4 linked regions of the Lepisosteus oculatus genome follow. The protein of the gene in region 1 interacts with the protein of each later gene in a pairwise test. Links are inferred from orthologs where the notes say so. Each region holds a gene or a part of one and is shown on either strand. Other genes may lie near its edges. The genes, in order: tsc22d1, setdb1a, aplp1 and ccdc90b.

Region 1 (7,414 bases):
CAGCAGTCCCGGCGGCTGCGGATGGGCCTTCGCCAGCTGCTGCGCCAGCCCCGACACGCCGGCGGGCAACACCTGCGGCAGAATGCCGCCCTGGGCGGTCTGGGCCATCTGGGGCGGCGACGGCGTCGACTGCTGCAGGATTCCCTGCAAGGGGGGCTGGCCGACCGCAGCGGGGACGGTGCCGCCACTGCCGCCTCCCCCCGGCTGCTGCTGCCCCGCCGCCATCATCTGACTGTTCCCGGTCACCGCCGGAGGGGGCATCGCGCCCGAAACGTGAGGAAGAGGAGGCATCGTAGGCTGCTGCTGTTGCTGCTGCTGCTGCTGCGGCCCAGGCGGCACAGGAGTCTGAAGGAGGGGCTGGTGGGGCACGAAATCTGGTGGCAGGCCGGCTCCTTGACTCACGGGCATGGCATGCGCCGGGGGCATCTGGGTAGGAGCTGCAGAGGGCTGCGGCGCAGGGAATCCCATCTGCTGCGGAGCTACGCCCGCAGGGGCAGGCTGGCCAGTCTTCTGAGAATATGGCAACTGCTGCTGGGGGAGGGCGGCCCCAGGATGTCCCACGGAGGCCTGCATGGGGCCGATCGGGGCCTGCTGCTGAATGGCGCCGATGCTGACGGGGATGGAGGGGGCCCCGCTCGTCTTCAGGAGCGAGTGCACCACGTCTTGGGCGTGCACGTGAGCCTGAGCCAGCTGCGGCTGAGATCCGCTCTGGGGCAGGCCCGGCAGGGAACACTGCATCCCTGGAGGGCCGCTGTAGTCGGCGGGCTGGGGAGGCTGCTGCTGAAAGGCCTGCAGCACGCAGGGGGCTCCCACCTCCCCGCTGCCCACGCTCTCGGTGTAGTGGCTCAGCGTGCTGACCGTGCTGCTGACCGAGCTGCCACTGGTGCTCTCCCGCTCGGACCCCGCCGCGCTCTCGGGTGCCGTCTGCCGCAGGCTCTCCACCAGCCTGTGGCCCGGGGGGCCGTCGGAGGGAGGGGCCGCCGGAGCCGCGGCCTCCTTGTCGTAATACTCCGTGCAAGTCCACCGGCCCTTCCTGAAGGGCTCGGAGCTGGAGTCCAGCTTCACCACGCGGAAGCGGGAGCTGGCGGCGGCGGGCGGCGCCACCTGCGTCTGCTGGGGTTGGCCCTGGGGGGCCGGGGCCTGAACCAGGGCTGCCAGGCCGCTCGGGCCGCCCCCTGCGGCGGCGGCGGCGGCCATCGCGCTTGAAGCCGGCGCGGCCCCCATCGCGACACTGGCGCCGCCTGGTGGCTGCATCACACCGACGTTTTGCCCGCTGGCATTCAAGCTCATCAGCCCCGGCGGAAGGCCACTGCCGCTGCCACACGTGCCCGCGACTCCGGAGCCCCCCAGGCCCGGCGCGCCGGCGGAGCTCCCGACTCCCACGCCGGCACCGCTGGCGATGCTGCCCAGAGGACCCATGCCGACGGCGGCGGCGGCCGGAGCGGGGAGCATGCCGCCGGGGCCGCCCGCGGGCAAGGGCTGGGGCAGGACGGCGGAGGCGTTCTCAAGAGCCGCTCCAGCGCCGGCGGGCAGCTTCTGGGCCGAGCCGAGCAGAGGCGTGGCGGCGGCGGCGGCCGTGACAGAGGGGCCGACCGCCGCCGAGGCAGGAAGAGGGCCCCCTGCCCCTGGGGTGGACAGGGCAGAGGGCAGGGCTCCTGGGGGGGTGGCGGCAGCGGCGGCGGCGTGAGGGTGGTGATGCTGGTGGCCGTGGTGATGGGTGCCGGGGTGATGGTGGTGGTGCGTCCCGTTCACCATGGCCCCGTGCTGCTGCTGCTGCTGGGAAAGGAGCTGGTGGTGCGGCGGGGCGCTGGGGAGGTGAGGCTGGTTGGGCGAGACGGCCCCAGGGGTCTCAGCCTCGTGGAAGTTGTTCAGCGTCTCCTCCGACGAGCTCCTCTCGGGACCCCCCAGGTCCGTGGCCCGCGAGAGGGACACGTCCAGGATCTCCGAGGACGACAAGTCCTCCGTGTGCGACTCATCCAGGTCATCGTAGCTCTCGGTGTCCTCTGCAATGCTATTGTTGGTGCTGACGGAGATCTGGGCCGGCGTGACACTGGTGATCTGGAAGCCACTTTTCTTTTTCATCTGCGCCCCGGCCGACTGGAGAGGCTGAGCCTGCAGCTGGGACTGGGACAGGAGATTAAGGCTCTGGGGAGGATGCTGGGGCACCGGGGAGGAAGACCCAGCCGGGGGTGGAGGCTGTATTAACAAGGGCGATTGGTAATCATCAGGCGGAATGACATTATTGCTAATGCTGGAACCTGCTGCCGCTGCCAAAGCCGAGATATTGCCGCTGCCGGTGCTACTGCCCCTTCTTGGAAATATTGCCGGGTGCGCCATCTTCCTAGTGCTAGCAGAATCTCCTGCAGATTCCGGATGATGCATTTTGTAAAATTCCAGGGGTAGTTCCTTTCAGTGTTGTAAATACAGGTAGCAAGTACGTGTGTGTATACGTACTGAACAGGCGGTAGGTTTTACTACGCAAAATAATGAAACCGAAGAAATGCCCAAACCGTTTCTAATGTAAATTCAAGCCGCCGCCATTCAACTTTTTTTTCCTTATTTAAATATTTCCCCTGCGAGATATACTGCTAAACAAAGTCGGCGGTGCGCCCTCAACGTTATATTATCCAGACGCGGTAGGCTGTGAACGTTGTTAGGCGCAGTTCAACATCTCTCAGCCCTTTCAGATATGTGCGTATTTATATTCTTAATTTCAATCCGTATGGCAATGAGAAAATAATGTATATCTACCAATAGTGCACCATGAAATCACCTCCATCACTGCCCTTTTTTTTAAAAAAAATGAAACGAAACAGTCCGCAGCCGGTGCAAAAATGTGCTGGACAGAGGTTTCCCTTTTTGTCTGTCACGGCAGTTGTTTAATCCATGCTTTCATCTTTCTGTTTTTATCCAATGATTGCTGTATCACCCCTCACTCACCGATTCTCTTCACCAGCAGCCCTCTTGCACTGTTTCTCTCTCGACTATGACGAGACTAAGGGGGAGGAGGGCTTGCTAACATGGCGAAGACGCGTGCGCAGTGCAGCCGCACAGCAGCCAGACATAAAGCCAGTCTGGGAGAGGCGGAGGGGAGGGGGGGAGCGGTAGAGCGAACAAAAAAAAGAGCTTCGGGCAGTTGACCCGGAAAGTACCGAGAGCCAGTGACGGCAACTGTCGAACAAAAACGAGGCTCCAACGAAAGGTGCCGAATGTACACAGCATTGTTCGACACAGATTCTGAAGGCTTTATACCGTGTGTTGAGAAATAAAAGGTGGGTGTGTTAGGACGAGAAGGGGTGAGGGACAAGGTGATGGGACTGTGTCGGACGTTTATTCACTGGAAATCAAAAGGGCACAGTAGGACAATCAAACGGCGAAATTAACCATATCTCTTTACGACTGCATGGGCGTTGTCCTCACTCGCATCATCTTAATTTCACATTTGAGCCCCCCCCCCCTCCCTGTATGCAGACACCAGTGCTGTCTTACTGGGTTCTGTACTGTAATGTACACCTGTGGGCAAGTCTTAAAGATGCGTGGTTCGGATTAAAGATACATTTCATTCATTGAATGTTTTATTTAAAATATGCTGTATCCGGCTAAACTGAGGAAAAAGATGGGGATTTTTTTTTCCTGAATGAGGAGAACTTTCGAAAATGACGACGCAGATTTCTGGCATTTAGAACAAATGTCAGTACTCATTGTTTACAGTTAATAGCAGTCTTGCAAGGCGAGGGATACTACTGTCACAAGCACTCAGAAGACGGTAAACAATGAGCACAGGTCAAATACAAAGTCTGTTTCTATTGTTATACAAGCAGGGTTACAATACACATCATTCTTAAAAACTGAATAATGTATCTCTAGAGATTTTTAGTTCGGGTCATTCACCCAGCCCATTCCTGGCTAATAAAACGAGAGAAAAAAGTTTTTTTTTTCTACAAAGATTAATTCAATTTCCTAATGTGTAAGAGCAGTATTTATAAATATCACATTAAAATATGTAAAATGATGTTTTCATTCTTAGCAAAGCAGATGAATCAATAGTAGATACATGAGACTCTTCATCTTGTGTGATAGAATAATTTGATTTCAACATTGTTACCAATATTCTCTCTTCCTTCCTTCAATTGTCAGAGTAGAAGTGTTTCTCCTGCTAGGGTCCCTGTTGTTGATTCAATTTTAAATGCACAATTTCCTGAAGCCTTGCAGCACTGTTCCCCCCCAGAAAAAATAATTACTTGACAAAACTTAACCAGGACAGATTTTTTTAAAATTTCCTAGTCTATTAAAGCTATAACCTATTATGTATGTCAGTCCCACTAGAAAATACCATTTTTTTTCTATTTGAAATTAACAGTACAAGGACTGATGGATTTCTATAGTGTTTTCTTCCAGAAAGATCCCAAAGCATTTTGTACATACTGTAGGAGGGGACCTACTTCATCCACCACTGAAGTAATGCACCCACCTAGTAGCCCCATTACCATAGGTTAGGTTGAGATGTGAGAAATTGCTTCTCTAACTGAATTAATGAGGGTCTTTAGGTAGATCTGCCAGGGCACCAGAATTATCCCCCCCACAATAGCCCACAGTGCCCATGAGATCTTTAATTACCAAGCAATCGGGGCTTCAGGTTAATGTGTGGTCTCAAGTACGGGGCCCCCTGCAGCAGAGTGTCTCTGGTCACTGGTGGATTGATCATTTCTTAAACTCTGAAATGACTCGATTTTCCCTGGAGGTTTCCCATCCCAGTACTGATCTGTTCCAGCCTTGCTTAGCTTCTCAGACCTGTCAACCAGAATGCTTTAGTTCTTTCTCAAGCAGTGTTGGAGAGTTTGTGATGTGAGTAGAAGCTAAAACTCCACAGATGACCTGGATACCTCCGAAGATCAATGCTGCCTGGTACTTTGGTCCTCTTAAAACAACAGAATATATATTTAGAACAAATTCGATCTGCACCATTGTGTCCTATCCAACACGACTGTATTATTTTCTAAGAATTAGTTTAAAGTTCAAGTTATTTCTCAGCTACCCTCACACTTGAAGAAGGCTCCACAGCTGAAATGTTGTGTTTCTTTTCTTTACTTTTCAGCATTGACTGAACCTTTACCTGTTCTTGTATTTCAGTTAGGACATTCAAGTCTCAGTTTCCACTATATTAATGGGAGTAAGGTGTTAACTTATTTTGCACTCTGACACTAGGAGAAATGTATTATTAAAAGCACATTTAAAACAAGCAAATAATGAAATTCACCTCAGTGTGTGCCGACATCATTACTAAATTGCTTTTTTTTTCAATTTTATCAATATTATCATATTATTTTAAATTTCCAGCTTTGTGGTAAAATCTAGAGTAAGTAGAGACCATATGTTTTTAGAGAAATGTTGTGCGCAGTGCCATGGGCCCGACAGTGAAGAAGAATAATTGTGTCGGCCTTGTGTCTGTATTCTGCGCCACTGTTTGCTTAACTAATACAGTGGGGCATTCTCTTTTTCCTGCTGCTTCTGCAGTACCTGTTCTGTGGACACCTAGGGAACCCCACTTTCCAGAGCTTTCGCTTTTATTGTTGCTATTGTGACGTGACATGGAAGCCGGGGTCACTGAGTGGGTTTCATATGATCACCGAATGAGCTGTCAAAACAGGTAAACAAGGCTCTCAGACGGTGATAAAAAGGATATAGCTTCGCTGTACTACTCAGCTGTTGCCATTCAAAACACAAAAAATAGCATGATCTAATTGTGGTACTTTCAGAGTCACTCCAATTTTTTCCCCCTCACAAAGTTTACTTACATCTCAGTATTTGTTAGGAGTATTAATGCTTACCTTTATTGCTGTTGATTGCCGTTTTATTTTTGTTTTTAGACTGAAGACCAAAAAAAAAACAGATATATCTAAAACAAACACATCCTCCCTGGTGCTTCTTGAGAAAACAGTGTGGCCAAATCCGCACTTGAGTGTGACACAGAAGTACAGTACAGAAGGTTGATATGATAAGGACAGACAGTGACTGCCAGTTAGACCTCCTGGACTTGCAAGTCTTGCTGGGTGAATGAGCCTCTCATTAATATTGTATGAAACTGGCCGCACAGCCTTGCCACACTCCTGGGCACCACTACCACTCTGTCTCACATATGATTAGGGGAGCAGAGCTGCGTTACTTCTTGAAAAATCTTGAAATCGCTGGAAATTTTGTGAAAGATCCAAATTCGATCTTAGATACATTCCTCTTAATTGGCATGTAGACAATCTTAACTGCGTGTTTGCTGTCTGTGGTTTGTCCCACTGCAGGGCAAAGTCACCCAGTGCTGGTGGCTGATGTCCCATGGCCAGGCTACTCTGAGTTACCCCAGAGCACAGGCTTCTTTAACCGCTGGCTGTCATCCTGGCTAGGGAGAAAGAGGAGGCTTTCCAAAGGGATCCAAGAGAGGTGAGTTCTTCCAAGGAGCAGAAAGTGGTGGTTATGAGGCCGGTTATTTTTAAGAATTTGAGAACTGAAAACGCCTCATCTCCTGGCCAGGAAAATCTCTGTAATAATAATAGATTTTGTTATAGCACCTTTAGAAGTGATTTCTCAAAATGCTTTACAGGAAAAAAGCACACAATGAGAGGAGGCAGCAGAATTACACAATAACAGTAAGCGTTTTTGAAATGAATGAGATGTTTTCCACCTTGAGAAAAATACTTGTTAATAAATAATATTAATATTACTAATAATAGTAAAAGTAATATCAAGTAAAGTTATACTTGCTACTCATCTTTGTAGTTGCATACATACAGTAAGCAAGAATTGTTCTTACATTTAGGGGTCATTATCATAACATAACTTCTTCAACAACATTTTTACATTAGATCTTTTATGTTTTTATTCTTCTGACTTTGAAGTCTGTTGCAAAAGTTATCCTTGTGTGATGAATTTGGATAAAGTGATTTACAGGCTTGTATACTGCACACTATTATACAGTCAAGCAAAGGCACACATAGCTAATAGCAGTTTAGCTAGTAAACACTAGCCAGCAGTTATATCACCTTGCAACTCTCAACTGGCAACCCACTGAAGCTCAGCAGGTATGAGCCTGGTCAGTACCTGATGGAAGACGTCCTGGGAAAGCTAAGGTTGCTGCTGCAAGTGGTGTTAGTGGGGCCAGTAGGGGGTGCTCACCCTGTGGTCTTATGTGGTCTTATTATGGCCTCCTAATAATCCCCATCTACAAATTGTCTTCATTACTTCATGTTCTCCTCCCCGTAGATGTGTGGTGAGTGTATTGGTGCACTTTGGCTGCCGTTGCATCATCTACAGTAGATGGGTGCAATACACTGGTGGTGGTGGAGAGGAGTCCACAATACTTGTAAAGCACTTTGAGTGGAGTGTCCAGAAAGGCACTATGCAAGTGTAAGCAATTATTGTGCTT
Region 2 (7,825 bases), on another chromosome or scaffold:
CACACACAGCATCAAAGCACACAGCCCAATACTGTACAAAACACACACACAGCCTGAAACTATACAGGACACACACACAGCCTCAGAGCACATAGCCTCAGAGCACACAGCCTCAGAGCACACAGCCTCAGAGCACACAGCCTCAGAGCACACAGCCTCAGAGCACACAGCCTCAGAGCACACAGCCTCAGAGCACACAGCCTCAGAGCACACAGCACGATATTGCACAGCGCACACACACAGCCCAAAACTATACAGCACACAGAAAGCCTCGCTCTGTTTAGACAGCACAGAGAAGAGAACAGGAGACTATGGACACAGCAGGAGGAGAAAGAGTGACCAGACACTCACTGTGGAATCCTTGACGGGGGTGGTCACTTTCTTGGCTGGAGAGGTGACATTCGGGTGGGCCGGAGTGACTGTGATGGAGGGACAGGAAAGGAGATCAATATGGAATTTATACAGCTCAAGCAGGTACCTGTGTCAGTGTGCGTCGGCTGCAAAGGAACAAGTAAAGGTTTATTCCTGCTGAAAAGAGAATCAAGGAAAAACAACGTTTTGGCTGTGGAGCCTTCTTCACACCCGAAACACAAACGTTTCTTTTCTTTTCTTTTCAGCATGGAATAAACCTTTACTTGTTTCTTTGAATTTATATAGTGCCCTGCACACAGAAACAACAGGCGTGGGATGATTCTTCACGCTAAATATTCCTGAGCCTTGAAGAGGCAGACACCGGACAGGCGCCTGACCTCTGGTTTAATACAGCTGGACACCAGACTGGTGCCTGACCTCTGGTTTAATACAGCTGGACACCAGCAGGCGCCTGTCCAGGCAACTCAGATTGTGCAGCTCATGGGAGGCTGTGCTCTGGGATCCTCTGGTGTGAAAGGTGCTATATAAGAGGGAAGGAATTCGTATTCAACACGTACTGCATCCCACAGCCACAACATCATCGTCGTCGTCATCATCATCGATCTCGATGACCTCAGAGGGCCTGAGGGCCAGACGATCCCCCTGATCATCGTCCGAGCTGCTGTCGCGGTACGTCAGACCCATGCTGGAGTAGAGGTCTCGAACCAGGCCCTCACATTCCTGCATCGACCTGGGGGGACACCACAGGACTGGTCACTCACTGACCACATTGACCACTGGACACACCTCAAGGCCAGTCATTGGCCACACTGTCCTCAGAACAAGCAGAGAGACCTGTCACTCACTGTCCTCAGAACAGGACACCCCCTGACCGCGCTGCCCCGGGGACAGGACACCCCCTGACAGCGCTGTCCCGGGGACAGGTCACTCACTGGAAGGCGGTGTCGAAGAGCCGGTCCACGCGCGACACCTCCGCCTCCCTCTGCTGCACCTGGCGCTCCAGCTGCTCCAGCTCGGCCGTCTTCCTGGCCACAGCCTCGCTCCTGAGGATCTCCTCCCGGACCCACTGCCGCAGCTCGTCCAGGGACACACCCAGCTCCTCCTGCAGCTCCTGCTCCATCTCCACCTCGTCCATCTGCAGCAGCGGACACACAGCACCGAGACACACTGCACTGAGAGAGAGGGGTTCATACAGACACACTGACAGACTGGACACTCCAGTACATTAACACTGCACTGAGAGAGAGGGGTTCATACAGACACACTGACTGGACACTCCAGTACATTAACGCTGCACTGAGAGAGAGGGGTTAATACAGACACACTGACTGGACACTCCAGTACATTAACACTGCACTGAGAGAGAGGGGTTCATACAGACACACTGACTGGACACTCCAGTACATTAACACTGCACTGAGAGAGAGGTACACTGCTGTGAGTGTAACATTGTAAGAAAACTACAGTCCCCTTTACCCCAAAGGAATCCAAAAGACACTGGTGTTGACACCCCACTCTGACAGTGTCCTGGGATCTGTAGTGACCAGTAGTCAGGACACCAGGGTCAACACCCCACTCTTACTGACAGTGTCCTGGGGTCTGTAGTGACCAGCAGGACTTCTGTTTAACATTAATACCGAAGGAGTACACCTCCTACTGCTGAGTATCTGACCTAGAGATGAGTACACATGTTACGTGATGTGGCGACCTTGTGGCTGCAGGACAGAGGTCCTACAGTGTTCTTGGGCTTCGGACACCGGACTATAGCAGAAACCTACACAGCGAACGTTTTCAGGTGTTCAATGATGTTACGCGTAGAGCAGAACTAATTTTACACAAAAGGTTGTTGAAGTTCGTTGAGATCACTACTAACCTCACGCACGTTTTCAATTTTCCACACTTTTAGAATTAGCAGCAGCTTCGGCTGCGAGACGAGACGAAACGAGGGGTACTGATTTAGATCCAAAACCTTTGCGGAAGGAAGACTTCAAAATATAAATGTATTTTAAAAACAACTCGTCATCTGCATTGAGCACCTCCATTGAAGGCGATGAAGGCGGTGTTACTGCGGCAAATGAACGTCATGGGAAATGTAGTTTTTTATCTCCCGCAATTCTTTAAATACGAAGGAGAGTTACGACGAAGAAAACATCAACTCCCAGCATACCATGCGCTGCGCTCGCAGGGCGCGCGGGTCTGACGTAAGGTGAGGGCGAATTTAAAACACCTCATCGCGTTCTTTTAATTTCTCACAAAAAAAACTATATAGTTACATATTTGTGATTATATGCAGTAAATATGAGAGTAAGGGGTTATCTTTACGAAATAAACGTTGTTACCGAAAGCCATAATTTGGACAAATTTAGCTGTAAGCATTCGCTCTTTATCGCAGATGTCCCCTCTCTACAAAACGACGTCTGCCCACCTGAGAAATTAACGACAAACGACTCCGGTTTTAACCAGAATTACCTCTCCTTCCAAGGCGTTTCGCCGGTAGAGGGTCACTGTAGATATTACTCTTTCGCTATTTCATAAAGAAATTTTTGAGCCAGATTCCAGTCTCCGAGCTTGTCTCCCTTTCTCCCCCTTCCCAGAGAGAGTCCATGAGGGAACACGCCCACTGCAGTCGTCGCCACGCCCCCAGACCTAATGAGCGCCAATCAGCAATGCTGATCGACGTGAGTGATAGGGGAGGCAACCAATAGGCTCCACAGTAGCGTGAGGTAAGAGGAAAGGCCCCTCCGACGATGGCAGGTTTGTCCAATAAAGAGCGCTAAACCGTGATAGGCGTCGGTTTGAACCAATCAGTGCAGCCAGAGGTTCTGGCGGGAGCTGACCTGTCAAGGGTTTGTATGCCTAGAGTTTACAACACGTGGTCGAAGCTCTTCTGTAATTGCTGAACGCATTATTCTTGAGCAGGGCAATGTGTAAGCAGCGTGGCTGTCAATGCCTGGCACAGATACCTATAAATGTACAAGAATCCACTCTGTCTCAGTGGGTCAGTGCACTCCTCCTGGTCAGAGCTGGGAATTCTGAGACAGGACACAAAACACAGTCGTTCTTCCAGATCCTTTTATTTCAGCAACTCCTGGTCTGGATAAAACTGCACACTGCTCCCCATGGTCCAGCCCTGCCCCGTCGCCCAGTCTACCGCCAGTCTCCCAGTCTACCCCCTGTCTCCCAGTCTACCGCCTGTCTCCAGCTCTGCCCCCTGTCTCCCACTGTGCCCCCAGTCTCCCAGTCTACCCCCAGTCTCCCACTCTGCGCCCAGTCTCCCAGTCTACCCCCAGTCTACCAGTTTGTCCACTGTCTCCCACTCCGCCCCCTGTCTCCCAGTCTACCGCCTGTCTCCCACTCTGCCCCCAGTCTCCCAGTTTGTCCACTGTCTCCCACTCTGCCCCCTGTCTCCCAGTTTGTCCACTGTCTCCCACTCTGCCCCCTGTCTCCCAGTCTACCGCCTGTCTCCCACTCTGCCCCCAGTCTCCCAGTCTACCCCCTGTCTCCCAGTCTACCCCCAGTCTCCCAGTCTACCCCCAGTCTCCCACTCTGCCCCCAGTCTCCCAGTCTACCGCCTGTCTCCCAGTTTGTCCACTGTCTCCCACTCTGCCCCCAGTCTCCCAGTCTCCCACTCTGCCCCCAGTCTCCCAGCCGCTGGGGGTGCTGCTCTCAGCCTCAGTTGCTGATCTGCTCCTCCTGCCAGGTGGAGGTGGGGATGGCACTGTAGGGGTCGACCACCATCTGGGCGCAGCGCACCACCGTCACCAGCAGGAAGAAGCACAGCAGGAAGAGGAAGGCCAGAGCGAAGCCCTTGTCAACGTCCACCGGGAGCTGGGGAGGGGCATCCGTGTCCATCTGGACCAGCTGTCCTCCTGGTGTTACAGCCCTGTTTCTTAACCACTGGACCAGCTGTCTTCCCGGTGTACCAGCCCTGTGTCTTCACCTCTGGACCAGCTGTCCTCCTGGTGTAACAGCCCTGTGTCTTATCCACTGGACCGGCTGTCCTCCTGGTGTAACAGCCCTGTGTCTTATCCACTGGACCGGCTGTCCTCCCGGTGTAACAAGACCTTAACACCTGGACCTGTCAGGTCTCCTCACTTGAGCAAAGTCTCGTCGAACTGGATGAACTCCATGTTATTACTGTAAACATATTAAACAATCAGAAAAGCCCAGGAATCAAACAGCAGAGTGACCCGCGGGTCTCTCGGTCCGCCCCAGGCAGTGTGCGTGACAGGCAGTGCGAGAGTCGCTCTCTGACGCCAGTCCGGTCCTCCAGCGGGGTGGTGGCTCAGCAGTGGCCCAGTGGGATCCAGTTCGGTTTGGGTCCCAGCTACAGGCTCAGGACCGGGGTTCTGCAGAGCCCTGTCGAGACTGAGAGACGCAGGGGGGTGAGTCCCATTGTGCAGGAACGGGAGGGGGCTCATTATGGAACGCAGGTACGGGTGACCCCCTGACCCCTGACCCCTGACCCTGGCGCTAACACCTGTACAGGGCAGCTAGCTAGTGAAAGCAGCATAAACGTGCCCTGAACCCAACACTGTCACACGCTGGGGAAAAACGAAACAATCCTTAATCGGAAATTCAAGGAATTTTAACAGCGTATGCAGTGACTTCTTGCCTCTCCGAGGCCAGATCCCAGAACTCCAGTAGGGAACATGGCGGATCAGCCGGTGTGTGTGTGGGAAACGGCGGCCTCACACTTACCCATGCCCTGGTTAGTGTGTGTGGTCACACAGCGGCGGTATCGCCTCGCCGCTCGCTCCTGCCTTCGGGATTCGGGAGGGTCTGCAGGGATGCACTGCTGCCGGAGCGATCCAGCTCGTTCTGGACCTCTGCGCTCGGCTGCGGGAGTTTTCCTCGTGTGCGCCACTGTCCCCCCCGGCTCATGAATACTTCAGCACGCTCCTGGTGTTGTCTTTCGGCCCGGCCCGCTGCCGAGGGGAACCCGATCCCGGCGCGGTGCCGCCGCGGCCCGCTCCACAGAGGGCACCTGCTCCGAGCCGTGTAACCCGGCACACGGCAACCCGTCACGCTTCATGGGAGTACTGGGAGACAGGGGCCATCCCCGTGGAGACAGCGTGAAGCCAGCCAGCTCCTCTTTCACAGACTCTGGACCAGCAGCAGACACTGCTAGTGTACTCTTTACTGCGTTTACCCTCATCTCACTGGGCTGGACTGCACTGGACTGTGCTTTTACCCTGATCTCACTGAGCTTTACTGTACTGTACTGCACTTTTACCCTGATCTCACTGTGCTTTTACCCTGATCTCACTGGGCTGTACTGCACTGTACTGTGCTTTTACCCTGATCCCACTGGGCTATCCTGCACTGCACTATGCTTTTACCCTGATCTCACTGGGCTTTACTGCACTGTACTGCGCTTTTACCCTGATCTCACTGGGCTGTACTGCACTGGACTGGGCTTTTACCCTGATCTCACTGGGCTTCACTGCACTGTGCTTTTACCCTGATCTCATTGTGCTGTACTGCACTGTACTGTACTATGCTTTTACCCTGATCTCACTGGGCTGCCCTGTACTGTGCTTTTACCCCGATCTCACTGGGCTTCACTGCACTGTACTGTGCTTTTACCCCGATCTCACTGGGCTTTACAAAGGACAAGATTTCTGTGACAAGTTATTCAGTGCAGGGATGAGTCAGCAAACAGCTGCCCCACGGCCCCTTTGCAAAGCTAACGAACAGGAATGATAAGCAAATGTTTTCATAATACTGTAGGATTTAATGAGCTGCGTTACTGAAGCGGATACCCTGGTTTCAAATTCAACTTCTGAAAGAGCTTTATTGGCATGAGAAGAATGACGTGTTACCAAAGCAGACACAATCAACACAATATTTGCATACACCACATAAAACATTATTGTGAGAGAGGGTTGGGGTTTTCTTTAACGCTTCTAGGATCAATTGACGGAAAAGTAGCTCCTCTCCTTCACCTTTTGTTCCTGTTCTCGTGTTTGTGTTTATGTTAAACACTGAGATTGCAGGTCTGTACTCGACATAATTAATCAGAAACTCGCCTCTCCACAAAATCACTCTCTCCCTGCAGGGACCGCGGAGGATGACAAATACCAGATGTCGAAATATCTTTCACAACAAGCGCATTTCCTGTGGAAAAATACAAAAGATCTCGATTAAAAACACTCAAACCGCCCCAGACTGTCCCTTTAAACAATTCTGTGTGGCGTCACCGATTTCGGCCCGCCCCCTCAGATCATTCTAGCCTGGTGTGAAAGGCGGGATCTCTCTGTTGCCTTTGCTAGATTCCGAATCTCTATTGGCCAAAAGAAAGGTACGTCCAATCTTTGTCATCACTGATTGGACAGAGGCACCGCCCATCATTTTAACACGTTTTTAATCCGTTTTGTAATCAAAGAGTTCGGTTGACGCGCGGGCCTCCGCTCCAGACTGCCATCTTGTTTCAAGGGAGGGTTTTCGCTGTGTGTTTTTTTTAAAAAACAAAAACATAAGAGGAAAAAAAGTATCTTTCGAAAAATAAGAAAAAAACCGACAACCCGTGTCTCACGCTGTCCCACACCGTGCGGAGGCGCCGAGGGCTGGATGTTTTCTAACGTTCATGGCCTCGACTTCGGCATCAGGTACGAAGCCCGTCGATTGCGTGCGGCCCCTGGGCGAGTGTGTGTCCCGGGGGTGTCAGAACAGGCCTGCCAGCCCTGAGCCCTCACGGGGCAGAGCCGGGGGCTCTGGGGGTCACCGGGCGGGGTTTTTTTTTGGGGAGGGGGGTCTTTCCGCTGGAGCCCGGCTGTCCGCCACAGCCTGGACAGCCCGGTCACTCCCGAGCCCACAGGGACGTCTGGCGAACCGGAGGGAGGAAACCTCTCTCTCCTGTCGCTGTCCGACTGACTGGCTGTCGCGGGAGGGTTTCGCCGAGGCGATGTCTGAAGCCGGCTGGGTGCTGGCACTGGGTGGGTGCGTGGGGAGGGGGCTCTCTGTGACTCGCGTCGCGCTGGTCCGTTCACTGGCCAGGACAGCAGCTGAAGCTAAAAGGAAAAGCGCTTCAAAGTGTCAGAGAAGTAGCCTTGATGATGATTCCCGACTGACAGCACTGTAAAACCTGGAGTGGATCAGACTGCTGCGCACTGGGAGTCTAACTGACAGCACTGTAAAACCTGGAGTGGATCAGACTGCTGTGCACTGGGAGTCTGACTGACAGCACTATAAACCCTGGAGTGGATCAGACTGCTGTGCACTGGGAGTCTGACTGACAGCACTGTAAAACCTGGAGTGGATCAGACTGCTGTGCACTGGGAGCGTGGCCCGTTTCCTCAGGCACCGATGTCTGGGCGCTCTGCGGTCTCGCTGTGGCCGGAGACTGACACTGTGTGACCCTCCTTCTCTCTCCCTCTCTCCCAGACATGGCGTCGGAGGTGTCCGGGCTGAGTGCGGGTGGGGCCCCTGGTAACCCGGGCCTGGGCGGGGC
Region 3 (7,429 bases), on another chromosome or scaffold:
TGGAGGAAACCCACACAAACATGGAGAGAACATACAGACTCCACACAGACAGACCCCCAGGAATTGAACCCTGTCCTCTTCCCTTCTTATTTTTCCTAAATATTAAATATTTAAGTTCGAAACAAATTAAATTAAATTTTGTTTTACTTTCTGCATTATTCCAGCAAGAGTCTCTGCCTACTAGCCTTGTTATCTTAATGAGATTCTCAGAAATAAGATCTCATCTTAGAGAAATTGTAACACATGACTTCATGCCAAGATTGTGTGTTTTTAACCCAACTGCCAACCTCATCGTGACATTTCTCATCTTTAAAAACATGTCCTGGCTTGGGTTTCTGTGGTTAAAAAAAATCCTTGAATTACTCACCCAGTCCTTCAAATCAAGTCGTGTTTTTTTCTGAGCTACAGTAGGTGATGCAGCTTTTTTTCAAACATCAGGTAATATTTTATAGACCAGTAAAGATATCTTACTACCTTCAAAATGGGAATGGCTTTACTTCTAAAACAATAAAACTCTCAGTAAAAACACATTTCTTTTAGAGATTAAAAGATGCTGTTTAAAACACAGTTGTAAGAAATATCGGCTTGTAAGATTTTGGTTCTTACAGCAAAGCATAAAGCTCTGAAAAGAAAAGAGACACTTCCACCTCGTCCCCGAAATATTCTAAAAGGATCAAATAAACCTATTTATGAAAGCCCACTGAACACTGAATTGCTCTGTAGTTAACGGCGCCTAACTCTTTCTCACAGTTCGGCCCCCCGGGGGCAACATCGTGACTGACGTTACTCCCCAAAAATCCCAGACTCCTTGAATCAAAGACAGCTGGGAGTCCCGACTGCTCGAGCCCTGCTCCGCAATTCAATCAAAGTGTCAGCCTGCCCGTCACATTGCAAATAAACATCCGCGCGCGATTACATCTGTGCTGTCCGCGCCACGGCGCCCTGCTGCCGGTGGACAGGCTCTATCAGATACGCGGCCGCGGCCATATCGACCGGTGGACCCAGTGCAGGCCGACGTCTGCCACTGTGGAGCTGCACTGTACTGTGCTTTTACCCTGATCTCACTGTGATTTACTGCACAGTGCTGTGTTTTCCTGCGCTGTCCAGAGTGCTGTGATACACACAGGGTTTATGTTTGATTTACTGCTAGAACTGAACCCTGTTTTTGACACCATTTATGTGCAAAAATAATCTTTTAAAAGAAGAAATCCCACTGAGGTGGAATCTAGTACATTAACAGAACTCTGCTGAAAACCAACAGTCTGCCCCTTCATGCAAACAGCTCGACAAGCTCATATCCGGCCTCATCGGGCTACAGGGAGCGAAGACGCCTGGAAGTTTGTGTGTATCCTGTGCATCCGGGTGGATTCTGCAGCTGGCTGACACTTCCAGTCCAATAACATCGGCTGCTTCCCTTCCGCCTTCATCCTCAAAGCCTCCGAGCCCTCTGAATAAACAGGACTTCAGCCATCGAGCGCCAGTGAGGAGGATGACGATGACATTAGTCCTGCTGCTGAAACTGGGAACCTGCTCAAGCTTTCTGTATGCAAACACCACTTCACATGTATTTCAGCTTCCAGAACACAGGGCTGTTATAGGCGCCTTTTCCCTCATTTGTGCATTTGTTTCTACAGATGTCAGAGAGCTAAACGAAATATCTCTTAATAATGAGAAAAACATCCACCACCACAGTGCTGCTGCTGATGGTGACGATAGGGATTAATGTAATTCTGTGCATTAGCAGGGCTGGATCAGCAGAGCTCTTTACTGGTGCGACTCTCATTATAAACATCTCTTTACTCCCCAGTGCAAAAGCCCTGACAACACACACAGCTGCACACTGCTGCTGCCTGCAGCCCCGGCCATCAGGAGAGGAGTCTGCCATCTTCCCAGCCCGATCTATTAATCACTCTCACACACGCATGTGTTAGTAATGCGTTACATCCATACCTGTGTGTTTGAAATGATGACCACGTTTAGACTATGAACACCAGCGGCTCATTAGTTAGACAGGGAAACCTCTCCAGGGGTTTTAGTGTCAGTAAAATCTCCAGACTCCCCCCTCCCTCACAAAAAACACACGAGCCTCGGTCTGATGCAATAAAGACGTTCAAGGAAATTTCTCTCTCCCATTTATCACCTCGACATCCCAGATGGTAGCTACCCCCTCCCCAGCCCCGTCTCCGCGCTCTCTCTCCCCGTCACGGACGAACATGGCAGACGCGTGCTCATACAGTATATACACCGATTCATCACCATCATCACCACCACCGTCATCATCATCATCATCATCATCCTACACAGCCCGCGCCTGTCCCTCTGCACCCCCCCGGAGCTCTGCGCCTACGACTCTTCTGCTCCGCTGTCAGCTAAGGAAGGGCGAAGGGCGAAGGTGCACCCCCGGCCCCTCGCGCTCGCCAGGGACCCCCACCTGCAGGGCTCTCGCGCCCCCTCCCCGGACTGCCCCTACAGCGCGCGGCCCGCTCGGGCGCATCGCTGACGCGCAGGAGTGCGAACTCCAAACACACTGATCGATCACTCCAACCACACCGATCACTCCAACCACACCGATCGCACCTGGCACGCCCGCAGGGACTCACCTCGCCGTACCCCCAGACGTAGGCGAACAGAGACACAAAAACGCAGACGCCAGGTCCCATGTTCGGCTCCCGTCTGCTTCGCTACTGACAATCCGCTGTTTTCCTCGGTGATGCAGTGGAGCGAACCGCGTCCTCAGCCGGTGTCCTGGCGGCTCGGGTGATGCTCTCTGGACGGGCGCGGGGATCTCTGCGCCTACCTCCGACGGCTCCGCTGTGTCGTGCGTCTTCACCTCGCTCGCCCGAGCTCCAATCACAGGCTCCGGGGCTTCTCGACGCGCTGGTGTTCTGCTCACAACTGAATCCGCCACCCCCTCCTCCTCCTCCTCTATCTCTCGCTCTCTCTCTCTCGCTCTCTCTCTCTCCAGCACAATAGCAGCCGGTCCGCTGCTGTACCGCGCTGCGCCTCTCGGATTGGCCGCGCCGGCGAGAGACTGCGGCTTCACGAGCTGGGCGACGCCCTCCGGAGCGGGGAGGCGGCCCGGCAGCGGATTGGCTCTCTCCGCGCACGGGGCCGGTATCCAGGTCCGCTGTGATTCGACTCACCTCCGCGAGGACCCCCATGCCCCCCCCCCCCACTCCGGCGTGATTTTCTCACCGTGGACGGTCCGCGTGGGCAGCTTGTGTTACACGAATTTTCGACATTTTCTGACCGCAGCCGTTCTGACAACGAATGAAATATACCGGGGAGCTTCCTATACACAGATATGTTGCTTTCAGCGGAATGACAACAGCGCTGGCAGCTACAAAATTGAGAATTCCGTTGTTTTCTTACCCGACCCATAATACTCTGCTCTCAGAAAATAAAACGTAGGCACGCGGCACTCACAGACACGTTATTTACGAAGTAGAAGTTATTCTCTAGGCGCGTTGTATGATGAACTCATCCTGAATATAACACCAGCGGCCCAGGACTGACCCGGGTGCCCCAGAAACACCGGGCCATGGTCAGGCTGAGGTTCGGTTCCCTATCGAGATCAGCACGAAGTTTCAGGTATAGGGTGGGTGCGTAGAGTTGTATGACAGTTAGACAATAAAGCAAACACACGATCTGTGGGCTGAAACAGTTGAGTCTAAAACAGCGCTGTGTCTAGCACCTCAGGCAAGGAAGGACACGCTGATGATGAGCCTGCAGCTTTCTGTATGGACAGAGAGGACAGGCTGTGGTCACTGAGCCTGTCTTCTCTCTGGACAGCCAGGTCTGCCTGTGTCCAGTGTCTGTGTCCAGCAATGCTGGCTCCCCATTTACACAGCGGGGTGGAGTGGAGCAATGGGGTACAGTACCTCACTCAAGGTACAAGAGCAGTGTCTGCAGCTGGCGCTCGAACCCCCAACCCAGGCATGAGTCCAGAGACTTACCCACTGAGCTACACTGCCCCCCGCAGGCCTTTCTGTGCTTAACTAAAAATCTAGACAGAGTTTCATTGTGTTGTATTTATATAACTTTATTGTGCATTCAAAAGGGTGGAAATTTGTCTTTGACATCACCATAAACAACTACAGAACACAAATACCACTCAACAATACAGTAAATACAGGGGGTGGGAGTGAGGAGGGAGGGAGAGGGCGTCCAGGACGAGCTGAGCTCTTCTTTGAACTGCAGTACAAAACAGCACTTTAAGCTGCTTCTGTGGTCAACCAATCACTTTCCTAGCAGTATTAACAATTCCGTCTCATTGCCTTTACTCCTAATGCTCAGGCTCACACTCTATAAACCCTCTGTACACCCATTGTGCCTCACCCCAGACCCCTTCAGCTTCCTGATCAATATATGCGCTGACTAGCCTTCTTAAAAATGCAAGGGTTCAAGACCAGGTTTGTTGTCCTGTGTACCTGAGTCCAATGAAAAGCTCGCTTGCGTGTTCCTCACAGGACAAAATGACACGACAGATGACAGAGAAAATGGCATCACAGTTATTTGGAGACAAAGAAGACGAGAAGTCAAAGAAGATGGTAGCAGCATTTAGATAGCGTCTGTGTGCAAGCAGTCTTGACTTTTATCTGACTTGTGTGGCAGTTTTTGGATGTGTTTTGACTTACTTCCAACTGGTGCTGTCTGCAAAGTTCAAAAGTTCATGTGTAACTGTCCAAGGTGTTTGAAACCCTGAACAACCTCCCACAGGCACTGACCAATAAGGGAGAGGGGCTGAACGGCTAGCAGCCAGCTGTGGGGGTTCACGTTCGAGTCGACACCCTTCCAGTTCACTGATCTGCCCCGAGCGATTCTCCAGCGGCCCCAGTAACCAGGTTCCCTGCAAGCGACAGAACACCAGTATTTAAAACGAGTTCGGTTGAAAATGTATTTCTTATAAGAACCCGCTGTGACCGATCTGTTAGAAAATCCTTCATCCCTTTTTTCTTCTTTAATTTATTTCCTGCGCTGGAGCCGTTTATCTGCTCAGCGCTGGTAGGGCGGTTTCACCGGACTGATTACACAGTCCTCAGCCACAGCTCCGTCGGCAGGTGGTCGTCCTAAATTAGGTTTAGTCACTTTCGACAGTCTGTTATTATTTATATAGATTATAATTGTTTTTATTTTTGTCATGTATTTCTGCAGCGTGTGACTCATCGTTAGTTTGTGAACTGCAGACCTCAACTGCAGCCGACGTCCTCTCGGTAACAGTGAGTGTTGCACGCAGACAGACGTGAGATAATTCATGATCACCTGAGAAGGTAAACTGTCCCTTAAAACGTGCCGGCGACCTGGATTAAACCCCAGCAGGCGCGAGGACGGCCGCGCGAGATGCCTGGGAATTTGGGGGGCGATGCTACTACACGACGACACGCCCGTGACCCTGATTTCATACATCGTGACGGCAGCGCAGCCCGATTCGGCGTCTACGGGGTGGGACGCGTGTCGGCGTGAAGGAGCCCACAAGTCCCTTTGTTCGGTGGTTCACATCACCAGCTTCCGCCTTAGTCAGAGAGAGAGCTGCATTGTGCTCTACACCACACAGCACACAGACATCGACCCCTCGCGAAGAGTGACACCATTTCAAACAGTACAGCGGATCCCAGCGTCGACAATCCCCACACTGTGCGACACACAGCACTAATAAAGATATAAGAACTGGGAGAGGTGTTAGTGGGGCCAGCAGGGGGCGCTCACCCTGCGGTCTGTGTGGGTCCTAATGCCCCAGTATAGTTACACTGTAGACAGGCGCCGTCCTTCGGATGAGACCTAAAACCGAGGTCCTGACTCTCCGTGGACATTAAAAACCTCAGGGCGTTTCTCGAGAAGAGTAGGGGTGTTACCCCGGCGTCCTGTCCAAATTTCCCCCTGGTGCCTTACCCATCATGGCCTCCTAATAACCCCCCTCTCTGAACTGGCTCCATCACTCTGCTCTCCTCCCCACTGAGAGCTGGTGTGTGGGAGAGGACTGGAGCATCATCCAGGTGGGGCTGCACACTGGTGGTGTTGGAGGGGATCCCCATTACCTGTAAAGCGCTTTGAGTGGAGTGTCCAGAAAGACGCTATATAAGCCTAAGCAATTATTATTATAATTATTATTAACATAAGAACATAAGAAAGGTTACAAACAAGAGGAGCCAATCGGGCCACCCAGCCTGGTCAGAGTTAGCTGCCCCAAGGAGCTGACCGCGCTGTCGGCCTTTTTCTAGGAGGCTGTGAGCGTGGCGGGGGGGGAGGGGGTTAATACGTCACAGGAGAGGCCCGGGTGGGGCGCGCGTGAGGGCGAGTGCCAGCGCGATGACCTCACACGCCTGCGCGGCAGGTACGGCTTGCGCACACCGGAGCCCGGACTCGTCACCCAGAGCTCCTCGCGACCGCACCCGTCCCGCACCGGCAGCGCTGAGCTCCACACCTGCACCACCCCACCTGACACGAAGAGCGTCCCCCCGTCCGCGCTCCTCGGGGGGCGTGAGCGTCTGTCTGCGCACACGTTTGCGACTCACTACTTATCCTTCCAGCTGCGCCTGACTTCCCCCGGTCCCCGAGCAGGAGGTTTTGGGGAGACGAGTTTCGGGGTGCAGCGCTGAATTGCGGAAAGACTGCAGAAGCGACTCGACCGAGAGCCACCCTCCCCGATCGGCCAGAATGAGTTCAGCCGTGCGGTTTCAATCGGAAGTAAGTTTGTTATTGGTTTACTCGTTTGAGTTTGTTTCTAACTTCTAACTTTTCTGTTTTTATAAAAGAGGCGTGTCGTTCGGTTTGTGAACAAAGACGCGGGTAAAGATGAGGTCCGAGCAGGGGGGACCCCCTGAAAGGGACCAGGTTCCCCGTCACTCAGCGCTGGTGCTTCAGGGGAGTGAGCTTATTATCACGAGTGGAGGGCAGGTAGAGCAAATATCACCTGGTCCTCAGAGATCAGCCATTCAGAAATCGAAATTTAGACCTCCATTAAACTGTGACCTGAATGTCGCCGTATTAAATAAGTGTTTAAAATGACCTTCCTGACTTGACCAGCGAAACTCAAAACAACCGAGGCTGTGCGTGACTCGAGCGCTGTAAAGGTATTTCTTTAAACTCCCCGTGATGTCAAGCGTTAACTTGGCTTGACAATATTCGCGTTTCCCACAGCGGTAACCGGCAGAAACTGACGGAGGAGGTCTAAATGTGGCCAGTATACGCAGCGTCTCCCTCACACGCTGTTCAGTCGTGTGGGAGGATATTTCTTTTCTAGAGAAAAAGTTGCGTAAGAGGATGATGAATGATTATCATCATTACCAAGATGAATCAGTGGTGATTTTTTTTTGTGAATGCCAAATCGGAGGGTCTCTGGAGTGGAGAAACAGCGAGCTGGAGTAGTTTCCCGGTGTAGATCGTTTGCAATGATTAACAGAGTCCGCTCCGGGCTCGTCAGACAGGTACT
Region 4 (7,508 bases), on another chromosome or scaffold:
TACATCTAAGTACTTTTTAAATACAACACAGAGGAATAGGATAATTCAGCAGATATGTGGTTGTATTTTCATACTTTTGTACTCCTTTACATTATGCTTCTAGTACTACTCCAGACGATACAAGCCTATTTGTGTAAAGAAACAAGCATGTGCCATGCCTCTACTCCAACTAACAATGTTATCGATAACGATAACAATATTGATAGCATCTCGGGATTTTTTATCACACAGAAACATTAGAAATTTGAATGCACGGGTCATAGATATTACCATGTCAGTTACTCTGCTTCTTTCCAAATTAATATCCAGTTTGGCATCTGCTCTGATTTTCCGGCTTTCTTCCTTTAAAAAAAAGTGCAATAGTTAATCGGTGTTTGCAACTTAAGCACCTTCATACAAACTTTATGTTTAAGTTACCATTGTTACCACTTACCATAAGTAGCTGTTTAACCTGCTCCAATTCAGTTTTCATTTTCTGTAAAACAAGTTTTGGTTCACACTGTTAACTGAATAGTGGCATTTTTTCATATTTTAACATCAGAACAATGAACACAGTAAGATTAAGCCTTATTCAATCTGAGATGGTGGTACTTGGCTGAATGAATTGAATTAGACTGAAATGTTTCATAAGTCCACTTCCCATGATCAGTATTATTGTAATGTTAGAAAAAGAAACAAAAAACATGACCTAAGAATAAAGACCAAGTGTTACTTAAACATCTGCATTAAACCTCAAGAGTATTCAAACATCATGTGAAAATGACTGTTCTAATTATAGACTTGCTGCGCACAGCCTTACTGTCATACTGTACCTCATTCTCAGCCCTAAGGTTTCTAAATTCACTTTTTTCCAAAATAACCATGTCTTTCCTGATTGAATCCAGGTGAGCCATTATTTGCTGTAGAGCAATCTCCTAAAAAAAAAAGGAAAGCATTTGTTTCATTGCTCTCCTACTGCTTAGACATTTTAGATCTACATAGGCAATTATAGTTTATGGACATCTATAGTTTCATATATAGGAGGTAGGTTTTCTTTTTTAAATTTTTCACTTCATTGCACAGTACAAAGATTCTCTTTTACGGTATGAAAGAGAAGTATTCTTCTCAAAACAGAACATTATGTGAAGTTGTAAATGTCCATGTGAAGGTACCACTCATTTTAACTGATGATAAAATAATCCATTTTAAAATCAGGAAAATTTTAGGATGTGGTATAAATGCAGGGATCTCAATTCTTCGAGGATTAAGACTGTTCTATTTTTTGTCTCAAGGAAATACACGATACAGTTGATTACTCAAAACACTTGTCTAAACATGAATCAAATGTACAGTTATCTATAGCACTCTTCAGAGCCTGTTTAGAAGTACTAAAATTATGTAGTTAAGTCATTAAACCAATCATGTAACCGAGAGTGTGGCTGGAAGAAATAACAAGAGACACAGAATTCCAGAAACTGAGTTTGAGACCCCTGATTCTGAAATTTAATCTGGACCTGCCACCAAATTTTTAATAAAAAAATCAGTAACCAACATGTACTGTATGTAAGAGCAGCACGTAAAGAGGGAAGACAATACAGAAGTCAGATATTCAGTTATTTACCTGATGTGCCCCAGTCACCATGTCTCTGTACACTATGTCCATATTGGCAGTTGTTAGTGTTACAAGCGCCGTGACAATAATCTCTGCTTGTTCTTTTCCAAAGCCTGTATGAAAGGCAAAACATGGAATAATATACATTTAAAGAATCAAGTAGTTCCCAACAAAAAATCCCATAACACTTTCAAGTACAATCCTAACAGAGAAGAATCGAATCTGAGTCTACAAACACATCAAGATAGGGAAAAATACTCACGTAAATTTCATTTATTATTGTACTTAAAGCAACTTACCGCTGGCTTGTAGATCTCTCACCAGGGCATGTGTGTCAAACGTCAATTTCCTCTGCTCAAGAGGTGTTAGCTCCACTCTTCTCATGTCATACGTTTTTTGAGCTGCTCCTGCATGAAACCCTGAGACAAAGGTAAACGACGAAGAAAATGAGGATTTCATTTGTCTTTATTGAAAGTCCGGCAAGTCCAGAAAATGCTCGTATGCATGCGTGTGCTGAACTGAAAAGCTAACAAACGACCAATCTCAATTTGTATGTTGACATTATGATGTAAGGATACGGAACAGTAGCTGTATTAAACCAAGACTTGTGAAATCTCCTCCAGCCATAACCATGTTTTCTTTGGCAGTAAAAATGAACTCGATTGAATGATTTTACTTTCTGAAGACGATCTTGTATTCAAGAGTTTTCAGGGTCATAAAAAGTTGGTCAGCTGTTGGTTGCGAAGGCAGCAGCAGTTTTATCTGCGACTGGGCAATCATTTCTGGTGCAGGATGACAAATATACTTAAAAACAAGGATTCATTACCTACGATGAATCGGAATGGACAAGTGCTGCACCCGGAGCTCTGAAACTGCACCGTGTTTAATATAACCTACCTTTCGCCGTAGTGGGTAAACGTTGCAGACACAGGGCTCGACTTGGCTTCCTCAGCACAGATAGAAAAGTTTTGCAATGTCTGCAATTCATGATGCTTGATATATGCCGTGGATCCTCTTCTCGCTTAAAAAAACAAAAACTTTAATCATAAATTAATTAAAAGTAGTATATGTATATATTCATTTCCTAAGTAAGAAGGCAATTTCTGCTTCGGTTTTTATGCCGTGAAAATTGCAGGTCATAGCCTGCAGGTTTCTGAGTACTTGTATTATCCGGGCATTTTTGGAATATTTTTCGCGTCACTGTACGACAACAATTACGTACCGCCCAGCGAGCTGGGGACGCTGTGGAAAGATCTGTTCCAGTGATCAAGTGTGCAAAAACATTTCGTGGGCTTCGTATTACAGGAGATGCGGATTTCATTGTAGGAAATGCGTACAGTATATCTGCATTATAGTAAAAAAAAACATTCCAGAAAAGATGGCACCTGAACGCTGTGACTCTCCTCCCGCACAGAATAAACCTTTACTTGTTCCTATTAAGAATTAAAAATCGGTTTAAAAATTGTTTGTAAGTTGTTTTACACCTTTCTATTGGCGCGGTTCTGGTACGCTTTCTGGCAACTAGCGTCTGGTAACACCGGAAACCTGACAAGGTCATAAACTACCAAACTTCACAAAAATAACGCCTCCTTTAATTAGGTCAAAGTTTCTGTTTACCCGCTCCAATATGACAAAATAAAACCGTTTCTATGGGTTTCGGAGCTTTCTAGTAATGACAGCATAGAAGACCCTAATTTAAAAAATAAAAACAACCATACCCAATGGGATGTTAAAATTATTTTAAAACAGTGCCCTTGAGGCGCCACAGTGATAGGCACCTATCCCCTTTATGACTTCTGGCCATCTGATAAGGTTATTTAATACAGTCCATTAAGAATGTAGTTCTTTCGCCAGAGAAGCAAGTTTAACTTTAAGCAAAACGTTGAGACGGGACTTCAACTCCCAGTAAACACAGCGATTTGTCTACTCTACACACCCAACAATGTTTGTATTACTTCTCTAGGATTTCTGTGGGATTGCGCGACTGCTATAACGATCGGATTCTTGCAAATAGATTATGCGAAGGAGAATTCGTGTTTAAGATTTGGAAGCTCTTAATTTCGAAAATAAACATAGTTTTTCACGTCTTCGCCTCTCTGACGCGCCTTTTCATATTTTTAATAGCATTATTTTTGTTTCTACATCACAAAAGTAGGTATAATTACAAAATATTATATTGGTATAATTATAGGTATAATTACAAAATATTGACGCCGATAAAACATGTTGTGATGTTAGCGAGCATAAGGTTTTGGATTATTCTGAGCACTTTGGAAAAAATTGTAGGGCTCAGATTTGTAAATTGTTTTCTTGTTTTTGTTAACCCAATGTCCTTGCTGTGTCAGAAATAACCCTTCTTCTGCTTTTATACACTTTTTACGCTTCTGTGGTTCTCTAATTTCTTTACTTGTTCCAATGTGCCAGGTTCCGTTGCTTGCTGATCATGTCTGACCTTGTGACTCTCAATGTGGGAGGAAGGCTGTACACTACCTCTCTGGCCACCTTAACTCGGTTTCCCGACTCCGTGCTGGGTGCGATGTTCAAGGGCAGGCTGCCAGTCAGAAAGGACCAGCAGGGCCATTTCTTCATTGACCGGGATGGCAAAACCTTCCGTCACATCCTCAACTTTCTCAGGTCCTCGCACCTCGACCTCCCAGATGACTACAAAGAGATGAAGCTCCTGAGACGCGAGGCGGGGTTCTACCAGATTCAGCCTCTGATGGAAGTGTTGCATGAGAGGGAGGCTGAGGACCTGGCATCAGAGAAGAACACCATGCTGAACATCAGCCTGGATCAGAAAATGCAGGCAGTTCACCTCTCTGGACCAGATGCGCCCCAGGCCTACAGCCTCGGTTCTTTGACTATAGACGTCTTCTCAGCCAACATCTTTTGCACCTCGGGTGCGTTCCTGAGCAGCCTGGGTATTCAGATCTGCTACTTCTTCAACGGCAACCTTTCCCCTGTGTGTGGCGAAGGCGAAGGTCAGAATCGGCTGGCGCTGCAGTGGGTGGGTGCTGTAGAGGGCCTCCCGGAGGAAGAGTACACCCTGCAGAATTTGAAAAGGCTCTGGGTTTTTAACAAGCAAGTTAACAGTCTCCGGGCCTTTGTGGAAGAGGTTCTGAAAATAACCATGAATCAAGGCTTCTGCATGGACTCCTCTCACCCCAGCTCCCACGATTTCACGAACACCAAGACTGTCCGGTTGATTCGCTACAGGTGCTCATGAGGACACGCAGTAAGAATAGTAGCTCACAGTAGCTCACTGATCGGAGGATCACACCCAGCCATTTTATACAAATGGGGTGAATCTAAATTTTATGCTTTTTTGAGAATATGAATTTCAATATTATTGTGCATGCAGTCTGATGTATTGCCTGTTCTTAGAAAAACCTTTTCTTTTCTATCAAAATTAACTTTATTCCACCCGAAAAAAACATCTCACAATAAATACACACTCTCACAAATGATCAAACTTACATATAACAAACGTAGAAAACCCTGTTCACTGAGAATTTGTGAGATCATTAACACCACTGCCTCACAACTCCAAGGGGTTTGATCTCGGTGTGATTGTAGGCCTGTCAAGCTTATTAACTATGAACTGGCTTCATCAGTCTGCTCTCCTCCCCACTGATAGCTGATGTGTGGTGAGTGTTCTGGTGCACTATGGCTGCCGTCGCATCATCCAGGTGGGGCTGCACAGTGATGGTGGTGGAGGGGAGTCCCCATCACCTGTGAAGTGCTTTGAATGTAAGCAATTATTAATTATTATTTTTATGGTGGGGAATGGATTATAAGAAAATGAAGATTTGCAAAGAATGAGAACATGTATTTAATTGTAAATGTTATAAGTATATAATACTGCATTTAATTAATACTACTAAAATATATGTTGTACAAATGCCGTTCAGAATTGTTTGTATTAAGTGTAAGAACTGTTTAAGTGTTAATTGTATTATAGTTATTGTAACAAATTGGCTGTTTCAGAAACTGTTGACCCTGCAGGCTGTTAAAACACAGATAGCAGAACCACATCTGGGGGCAGCTTCAGAACAGAACATATGGCGTGATAATGCACAACAGCAAGTGCATGATATAGTTACAGAACCAAGCCATGAGGTCTTTGAATATGTCTACTATATGATGCACTATGGTCCTTGTGCCTCTTTTTAGTGTGCCTTTATTTATGGTGAAATTTCTTCACAAAACAGTATTAAAATTTAAGAAAAGGACTGTAACGTTTCTCAAATTGAAGATAATACATTTTTACTCCTCATTTAAAGGTGCCTAAAAACTGCTTGTATTGTAAGAGAAAATAGGATGGTTTTGTGAATGCATCATTTCAGACCTGAAACCTTTGTTGTGCCTGGATACACGACAAGAATTCCAGACATACTGTGTAATACTAAGACAATTGTTTTACACACAGCAAAAACAATGCCCTATTCAGTTTCTGCATTTGTATAGGGTTGCTTGTTTCCAGTTGTCCCCTCTGGTTCATGGTTCCCTGGTCACACAGCAAAAGACAGCATATTACATGACAGACAAATTGTGGATAGTTGCTAGTTTAAAACTACCTAATTTTGTAGTCCTACAGTATGTAATTGAAACACATAACTACCAACTTTTGATCTGCAGTTAGTAACGAGCAGTTTGTGCTTGTGCTTAGAAGCATGTGTATGTTTGATGTTGCTCAGAAGGGCCCATAAAATTCTGACACTTTTCAATCAAGCATTCACAAATTTATCATCTAATTAACTCGATCCGGTTAATTGCAGAGCAGTGGTGTAAAAAGCCGCTCATTAGGAGGTAGCGACTAATATGTAGATTCCTAGCTCCACCTACTCCCTTGCTATATGTTCACGTCTCTGCGTGGTGAAGTCAGAGGAGGTAGGTTAATTTGCATTTTACATCCCATGATGCTCTGCAAGACTTACAAGATTTAATTAACATTGTTTCGTTTTAGCATGTTTTTTTGATTCCTAACAATGAAGACAGGTGTTTTATAATAGTGTTGTGTGTGTTTTAATACTCGTGGTATTAAATAAAGTTTAAAGTTTGTGAACCATTATAACACCGTAAGGCGTGCGCATTGTGTTTGCTATGGGGTGGTTAGACTGGGGGAACGGTAGGTTAGCTTTGCGCAGTGGCAGTATCGTAGCCTATGAGGTTTATCCGAGGCGCGATTATTGCTAGTTGAAAACTTTACCCAATACCCCGCTTGTACTGGCTTGAAATATAGCTAGTGCCGGCAATTTTTGACAGTCTCTTCGGAGACTGAAAATATTGGTATAAAAGCAGATTTATGCACTAGTATTTAGCGTAACAAATGGTAACGAGTTAGTCGTGATGTATTTAGTTTATGTTGTTATAGATCCAAAGATTTTTGTGCTTTGAGAGTGGTACTATATAATAAATAATGCATGTACGATCACGTATTGGTGGGGGCTGGACTATTTCCATAAGGCGAAATCGTTTTAGCAGTTATTTAATTAAATATCCAGAATAACAAACCACTCTGGACTTGCGAAAGCACGGGGGGTTCAGAGATGGGGGTGCGCAGTTCTTCGACGGCGCCATCACTCCGTCCGGGTTTTCTTTGCCGTTGCACACAAAGTTTGTTTCAGGAACTGTCATGGCGGCGCCCGTGGCTGAGGGCTGGAGCTGGTTTCTGACTTTAGCAGCGGGGATTTCTCTTTTGAAGGGTCTGCTTATTAATACTTAGTAAGTTCCACCGGTTTACGCGAGCTGCGTTTTCCATCTTACCCGGGAATGTCGAGTTTTCGAAACGACAATTACTGGTCATGCCGTTTCGATAGATTATGTTTTTGATAGCTCAAGACGCAGCTCATTCGTGGTCTTCATTCATTCTTGACCATGTCAAAATCCAGCACACGATGCAAGCAGACATAAGCGC

The links.
Region 2: the proteins of tsc22d1 (region 1) and setdb1a interact in a two-hybrid assay, tested with the Homo sapiens proteins (2 studies listed by BioGRID and IntAct). The link is inferred for Lepisosteus oculatus from reciprocal best matches to the Homo sapiens genes TSC22D1 and SETDB1.
Region 3: the proteins of tsc22d1 (region 1) and aplp1 interact in a two-hybrid assay, tested with the Homo sapiens proteins (2 studies listed by BioGRID and IntAct). The link is inferred for Lepisosteus oculatus from reciprocal best matches to the Homo sapiens genes TSC22D1 and APLP1.
Region 4: the proteins of tsc22d1 (region 1) and ccdc90b interact in a two-hybrid assay, tested with the Homo sapiens proteins (2 studies listed by BioGRID and IntAct). The link is inferred for Lepisosteus oculatus from reciprocal best matches to the Homo sapiens genes TSC22D1 and CCDC90B.

The regions. Positions count from the first base shown.
Region 1 is NC_090710.1:16,242,434-16,249,847, reverse strand, and holds the start of tsc22d1 (TSC22 domain family protein 1), read right to left. Parts: upstream 3,004-7,414; 5' UTR 2,383-3,003; coding exon 1-2,382. UniProt on the Homo sapiens protein: Transcriptional repressor. Acts on the C-type natriuretic peptide (CNP) promoter. Acts to promote CASP3-mediated apoptosis.
Region 2 is NC_090722.1:6,979,376-6,987,200, reverse strand, and holds the start of setdb1a (histone-lysine N-methyltransferase SETDB1-A), read right to left. Parts: upstream 3,007-7,825; 5' UTR 2,842-3,006; intron 2,809-2,841; exon of another isoform or gene 2,246-2,808; intron 1,545-2,245; exon of another isoform or gene 1,540-1,544; 5' UTR 1,508-1,539; coding exon 1,305-1,507; intron 1,103-1,304; coding exon 930-1,102; intron 420-929; coding exon 352-419; intron 1-351. Other genes in the region: aryl hydrocarbon receptor nuclear translocator-like, read left to right, coding at 6,962-6,983, 7,759-7,825. UniProt on the Homo sapiens protein: Histone methyltransferase that specifically trimethylates 'Lys-9' of histone H3. H3 'Lys-9' trimethylation represents a specific tag for epigenetic transcriptional repression by recruiting HP1 (CBX1, CBX3 and/or CBX5) proteins to methylated histones.
Region 3 is NC_090722.1:11,189,516-11,196,944, forward strand, and holds the start of aplp1 (amyloid beta precursor like protein 1), read right to left. Parts: upstream 3,006-7,429; 5' UTR 2,661-3,005; coding exon 2,601-2,660; intron 1-2,600. UniProt on the Homo sapiens protein: May play a role in postsynaptic function. The C-terminal gamma-secretase processed fragment, ALID1, activates transcription activation through APBB1 (Fe65) binding. Couples to JIP signal transduction through C-terminal binding.
Region 4 is NC_090700.1:9,250,796-9,258,303, forward strand, and holds the start of ccdc90b (coiled-coil domain-containing protein 90B, mitochondrial), read right to left. Parts: upstream 3,013-7,508; 5' UTR 2,913-3,012; coding exon 2,814-2,912; intron 2,613-2,813; coding exon 2,489-2,612; intron 2,011-2,488; coding exon 1,891-2,010; intron 1,705-1,890; coding exon 1,601-1,704; intron 915-1,600; coding exon 813-914; intron 476-812; coding exon 434-475; intron 343-433; coding exon 271-342; intron 1-270. Other genes in the region: BTB/POZ domain-containing protein KCTD21, read left to right, coding at 3,534-3,535, 4,016-4,817; alg8 (dolichyl pyrophosphate Glc1Man9GlcNAc2 alpha-1,3-glucosyltransferase), read left to right, coding at 7,227-7,315.